2 linked regions of the Kluyveromyces lactis genome follow. The protein of the gene in region 1 purifies or fractionates together with the protein of each later gene. This does not show direct contact. Links are inferred from orthologs where the notes say so. Each region holds a gene or a part of one and is shown in the gene's direction. Other genes may lie near its edges.

Evidence for each region.
Region 2: the proteins of APM2 (region 1) and MIL1 purify together in Saccharomyces cerevisiae (affinity purification with mass spectrometry; 3 studies listed by BioGRID, with this or other methods). This does not show direct contact. The link is inferred for Kluyveromyces lactis from reciprocal best matches to the Saccharomyces cerevisiae genes APM2 and MIL1.

Annotation. Positions count from the first base shown.
Region 1 is NC_006042.1:2,364,790-2,367,794, reverse strand, and holds APM2 (Apm2p), read left to right. Parts: upstream 1-837; coding exon 838-2,361; downstream 2,362-3,005. Other genes in the region: NFU1 (Nfu1p), read left to right, coding at 1-58; MCO14 (4a-hydroxytetrahydrobiopterin dehydratase), read right to left, coding at 209-736; KLLA0_F25410g (uncharacterized protein), read right to left, coding at 2,421-3,005. UniProt on the Saccharomyces cerevisiae protein: Component of the AP-1-related (AP-1R) complex, an adapter protein complex that mediates of cargo protein sorting in clathrin-coated vesicles. AP-1R has a specific role in SNARE SNC1 sorting.
Region 2 is NC_006040.1:444,166-447,930, reverse strand, and holds the start of MIL1 (Mil1p), read left to right. Parts: upstream 1-1,465; coding exon 1,466-3,765. Other genes in the region: KLLA0_D05181g (60S ribosomal protein eL22), read right to left, coding at 176-532, 1,017-1,028. UniProt on the Saccharomyces cerevisiae protein: Probable lipase that recruits the AP-1-related (AP-1R) complex to membranes via interaction with APM2. The AP-1R complex is an adapter protein complex that mediates of cargo protein SNC1 sorting in clathrin-coated vesicles.

The DNA of each region.
Region 1 (3,005 bases):
GATTGCACTTGCGGAGTTCGAAAAACTTGAGAAGAAGCTGGAGAGCAGTAAGAGATGATTGCAATTGCCCAGTATGTCACTTCTTTCTAGCAATGAAAGAAACGTACAGGCATAACTAAGACTAAGCAAGGAATGAATCATGACAGCATGTATTTGCAAGGTATTATGCAAAACAGAAGTACACTATTATTTATTTATTTAATACATTCTATTTATCCCCTATTAGGATGCCCTTCTTGGGATCGATTTGTTTGATGTATTTTTCAATCCGAGAAGCCATCATGATATCAGCATCGGAAATACCAGATACATCATGCGTAGTGAGTCTGAACTGAACTCTGTTGTAGGTAGTAGTAATTGTAGGATGATGGCCCCATAAGTGTGACCTCATGGCAACTTTGTTCAAAAAACTCCATGTCTCTTCAAAATCTCTGAACTTATAATCTCTAACCAATTCATTCTCCATTAATCTCCATTTAGGCAATTTTCTGAGTTCTTGTGTCAGAAGTTTTGGTGGCAACAGCACTGGTACCTGTTTTACTATCTTATTGTACATGTCTATACTATTCAGTGCTTGAAGAGTGGCATTTATTACCTTTTCCAGCATCTCTCTATGCGTAGTTGATAGAATTCCAAGATGTAAGAAATCTTTATTAACTAAAAATATTGAGAAGAAACAAAACACAAGAAGCACCATTTTATCAAAAGTGCTTTGAACAAACACCTTCAAAGCCATTTATTCTAGCATATATAGTAACTGCAAACCTAACCGAGACCTGAAGTAAATTTAGAGTGCCGAGTTAACTATCAACTGATGGTCAAATCAGCCTTGTCATAATGTCATCATGTTTCCTTTTGCTCGATGAGACGTATGAACCGCTAATAAGAAGAGCACTACGACCGATCCATTTCCTTGATGATGCTATACTTCAATTACAGAATAACCTTAAACATCATAAGGGATGCACAAAACCTATATTCGAAGGCAATGGGTGGCATTACGCTGTGATAACTCGTGATAACCTATATTTCGCTATGATAATGCAAGTGAATAATAGTGTTTCTCCCATAAGTGTGTTACATTACTTAGATGAAATCTACCAGTTATGCAGGAAATTTATGGGCATGAAGCTTAACAAGCTCAATGTACGAGATAACTTCCATTTAATTTTCGAAGTTATTGAGGAATCATCCGATTATGGTATCATACAGGTTACAAACTATAATATTATACATGATTTCATAAAGGTAGAAGTTATCAAACCCGACGATGATTCCGAGAATACAGCCTCTGAAAAACATGAGCTGCCACCAGGTGACCAGGATGAAACATTCATAAACAGTTATATTCTTCGAACGATGACATCTGCTGTCTCATGGCGTCCTAAGGGTATCCATTACGGTAAGAACGAATTCTTTCTTGATGTAATTGAGAAATTAGAATTCATTATGGATTTCGAGGAAGGTGTGGTCAGAAATAATGTAATCAACGGAACAATAATATGCCGGAGTTATTTGTCTGGTATGCCTCAATTGAGTATAGGATTGAATAAGTTGATGCAGAAGAATGTACACTTCATGAAACGTTTAAAATTCCATGAATGCGTAGACCTGCATACCTTAATCAAGGAAGAATCTCCAGTTATTAAGTTTATTCCACCGGATGGAGAATTTGAGCTTTGTAATTATAAATTGAATAGACCGCTACTTGATGAACCAGTTATAAAACTACAGTCATTCGGGCTATCCCAAAAACCTAGAAAGAACCAAGAAACCCAGGATAAGCTATTGTTGAAAGCTGCCATAACTACGCATTTCAAAGCTCAGGATAGTGCAAAGGAGCTTTTAATTAAAATTCCGATAAAGTCAGTTATTCGAAAGTGGAATATTGACCTCGAAAAGCCGCCCCTGTTTAAAAGCGATATAGGAGATGTTGTGTTCGACATAACAGCGGGTTCGATAATTTGGAAAATTAACAATTTGAAGGGTGGTCATGGAAACAAGAATTATGGGCTTAAATGCATGTTTGAAATATGGGACCGCCAGATTCATGAAGCTTTAGAGGTGCAGCTACGAAATTCCATGGACCCACCACCTTTAAGGACTGGCCCCAAACTAGAGAGAATTTGGGATCAGTACCATGGAAAAACTACGGAATATGATGGCAATGAGAACCAAAAAGAAGATGTAGACAAGTTCGCGTTAATTGCTATGTCGTTTGAAATCCCTTATTATGCAGTGAGCGGTTTAAAAGTTGAGTATTTCAAGATCGAAGAACCTCAATTAAACTACCAATCTTTCCCATGGGTTAGATACAAGACAGTCAATGATAACGAATATATATACCAGGTTTCCATTTAGTTAAAATTACCAAACTATATAGAGAAAAAGAATAGATTCTTTTCCCGTCAGATAGATAATTACGTGAGATCGTCGGCTATTTCTTTCAAAAGAGCAACTTTGCCTTTGAGGTCTGCTTCTCTCTCGGCATACGAAATCTCCCAATTATGCAACAGTAGTTGTTTGTTGCTTTCAATTCCTATCCTGCATTCCTCCCTAATCTGTAATTGGAATTGCTTTAACATGGAATACCAGGTATCCTTTACACGTTTCAGGCCTAAAACAATACCTAACGAAGATAATGCTCCCATCGAGTAGGCTGTACATAACTCTGTTACAAATCCTCCAATGGAAACAGCTATTAGTGGGAATTGCAACTGTAAGAAATTCAAGTAAACTGCCTTATTAATTTCTTTGTGTAAAACAGGTACTTTGTTCCTAGCATAATCAGGGTCTATAATGGATAGCTTATCCTGAGGTATGCCTAAAGATCCATAAATATGTGATAAATTTTGAACCATTTGAAGATCATTCGTAATGTTACAAAGTTCGTGTAATTTCAACGATAATTTGGATTCGGAATATGTGTAAACTTTCCAAAGGGAAAGTTGTTTGGAAGCAAAATCAGATAATAGAGGTTCGATAGATGTTTGCAACTCTTTGTG
Region 2 (3,765 bases), on another chromosome or scaffold:
TATATATTAATATAAGAGACAAAACATGCGAATAAGTCGAGCGCTTTGAGAGCCTCCAACCATTCTCAACAGTTTCTAGTAGTAAAAACTTCGACAGTCAAGCATAAATCAAAAATGCGATTGAAAAGAAAGAAAGAAAGCGAAACGAGTTAAATTTTTGATTTGATCAAAGAATTTATTCTTCGTCTTCTTCTTCTTCTTCATCTTCTGGAGTGATTTGGTAGAAGGCCAACTTGTATTCGTTGGTCTTGGTAGAAACAAATCTGATCCAGTCTCTCAATTGGTTCTTCTTCAAGTACTTCTTGGTCAAGTACTTCAAGTACTTACCAGAGAACTTGGTAGTAGAAACAATGGTGACAACGGAACCATCTTCTTCAACAGTGATGGCTTGACCCAAGTTACCGACGTGACCTTCAACCTTGATGTGGTCGATCAAGTACTTAGCGTAAGAAGCTGGATCGAAAACACCGTTTTCAGTTGGAGAGGAAACGTCAACAGTGAAGGTCTTGGTGATCTTTTGCTTTCTAGCAGTCTGTATGAATAGAGATCAAATCAAAAAGAACATTCGAACGTTCAATTTGATGAATGGCTTTAACGTTAGTAAATCAAAGTCCAAGGGAGGGCATTGCTTTGTCAATCAAGCTATGTGAACTGAATAGCATACACTCTTTGAAGCTAGAGACAGATCGGTCGACTGATCTGTTGAAGCTGCTATGAGGTATGCAGTCCACACAATCTCTTGTACAAAAAAAATAAACCAGCCTACTGCTATTAACAATCATCAATTGCTGAATAAAGATGAATAATTAAAAAACAGAATAGCCACCAAGTTGAGTTTTCCATTGTTAGAAACTTCTGTCATCCAAATCTTGTTTGAGACGATACAGAGGAAGTCGTTGGTTTACAGTCCTTCATCCTTTACGAAATATATTCAAATTCTCTGATGTTATAATTCTAGCAAATAGTAACCAATTCACTTCTAAAAACAAGCGATTTTACAACATTCTTGTACATACATTTGGAGCCATTGTTGTAATTGGTTGTTTGTGGTTTCTTTAGCCTTGACTAAACTATACTGCTATAATGTTGATGTTAAATGTAACTATAATCTTCCAAGTTAAAGGTTTATTGTGCCGAAAAGTTTCATGCATCTCGAGATCATCGAAGTGGTTTCGCCAAAGAAAAACAACCTTCGAAATAGCTGAAATAGGAAGTCATTCATTGACAGTTCTTTTTTGAAAATATGTCTGGGTTCAGAAGGACAATATTCTTATAAACATCAGGACACCATTGAACAGTCCTGACATCAAGATTAAAGGGCTTCAGAACATGAAAACAGCATCGATTCAATTAGCACTAAAAGTGTTGTGTTTACACAATCGGACTGTAGGGTGCGGAAAGAATTGGACTATTAACAGAATTCAAAGTTTCTGACAAGATACTGGATAACAGCTTCGTTAGTCATATGTCTGAGTGTCACGAAGACAGTGAAGAGGACCTTGGGTTTGCTTTGAAAGAGCTCAAGCTAACCAAGAAGCTTACTTCTAATCAAGATGGGAAAGACAATAAAGCTGATATGATAGAGTCAGTTGGGACACAAAGTGCTGCTGAAGAGCCTAACCAGACCATATATTCTAGTCCTGAATCCGATGGTTCGGAAGAAGAAAGAGAAGAAGCTGTCAAGGAGATCGCAGTACGACAGGCTGATAGTTCTGTTGATTTAAGGCAGCAGTCTCAAGAAACTGGCAATGTCGGGAAGATAATCCGGGAAGAAGATGAAAATGGTTCTATTACGGATTCTGATACTTCCCTTGAGTGGCAGCCAATGACTACTGTTGCCTCCTTTGATGTATATGATGAGAATGGAGAGCTTGTGTTAGAAGGCATGAATAGAACAGGAAGTACTCTGTCGTTAAATGAACATAGTACACCTTCTCAAAATCAAAAGAGCACTTTCGGGTATACCAAGGTTGATGGTGAGGAGCAAGCACAGAGATCGTACCTCACTAACAAAAGGACCGATTTTTTGTTCAACCATAAGAAGCTAGCGGTATCTAGTGCATCTCTTTCTATGTCACTTAGTAGAACATCTGGTACACCGGATTCCCAGTTCCTGTCAGAAGATGATGAAGAAGAGGAAGCAATAAGCTCTAAAAATATTACAACAACGGATCAATTATCGATTACGAAAGATCTTTTAAATGATAAAGAAAAGTTTGCATATATTGCATGTATTACTGTGCTAGTTAACGAGATGTGTACTCGTTTGGTTTCAATAGCATTATCATCGCATAATATGACTTCCAAACAGAAATTTGCGAAACGGTTGCAAAGTCTACAGAAGAATATGGGGCATTGGAGGAGCTTAATATTAAATCGACTTTACGCTCATTTGGAAATTGAACCTGAAGAAATCAAAATGTTATCAAGACTATCAAACGACGGGATTGAACTATCGGATTTATGTAATTGTTTGAAAGTGACACAGCATATTGACAATCCATTGGCAGAAACAAGTGATATACCTGAACTAAAAACGGAATCTAAAACTGACGAGAATATAATGACATCTAAGAGTTTGGACATTGATGTTGCTTGGACCATTATCTGTGATTTATTTCTTTTATTAGTGCAGGACTCTCATTATGATGCAAGGTCACGTTCATTATTAATTAATTTTGCCAAGGTGCTAAATATCGATCCGCTTGAGATCTGCCAATTTGAGAAAAGAGTGATAGAAGCATTAGAACTCGAACAATGCACAGAAGATCAGGTATGGGATGAAAAAGCCCATATGGACAAACGAAGGAAGGCAATCAAGAGAAAAAAACTGTGCTACATTGGTTTAGCAACTCTTGGTGGCTCTTTAGTTCTTGGTTTGAGTGGTGGTCTACTTGCGCCAGTTATTGGGGCTGGGTTTGCTGCGGGATTGTCAACAATCGGTGTAACCGGTGCCGCAGGTTTCTTAACGGGGGTAGGAGGTACAACAGTTGTTGCAGTGTCAAGTACTGCTATTGGTGCAAAAATTGGAACAACATCTATGAAAAGGAGAATGGGGAGTGTTAGAACTTTTGAGTTTAGACCTCTTCAGAATAACAGACGTCTTAACCTAATACTATCGGTTTCGGGCTGGATGAACGGTAATGAAGATGATGTTAGATTACCCTTCAGCACCGTAGATCCGATAAACGGTGATTTATACTCGTTGTATTGGGAGCCAGACATGCTAAGATCTACGGGTCAGACGATGGGTATCTTAGCTAGTGAAATTGTAACTCAAACTATTCAACAAATCTTAGGCGCAACAGTTTTGACTGCCTTGATGGCTGCTATCCAACTACCCAACATACTTTCAAAGTTGGGATATTTAATTGATAATCCGTGGAATGTATCACTTGACAGGGCGTGGGCTGCTGGGCTGGTTTTAGCAGATACGCTTATGGCCAAAAACTTAGGTGACAGGCCAATTACCTTAGTCGGGTTTTCCTTAGGATCTCGTGTCATTTATTCATGTTTAGTTGAGTTAGCAAAAAAAGGTGCTATCGGAATAATAGAAAATGCTTATTTGTTTGGTTCTCCTGTCGTTTACAAAAGAGATGAAATGATTCTCGCCCGATCAGTTGTTAGTGGAAGATTTTTGAATGGATATTCAAATAGAGATTGGATTTTAGGTTATTTATTCAGAGCCACAGGTGGAGGGTTGAGTACTGTTGCAGGAATATCACCAATAAATAGTGTTCCGGATATTGAAAATGTGGACTGCAG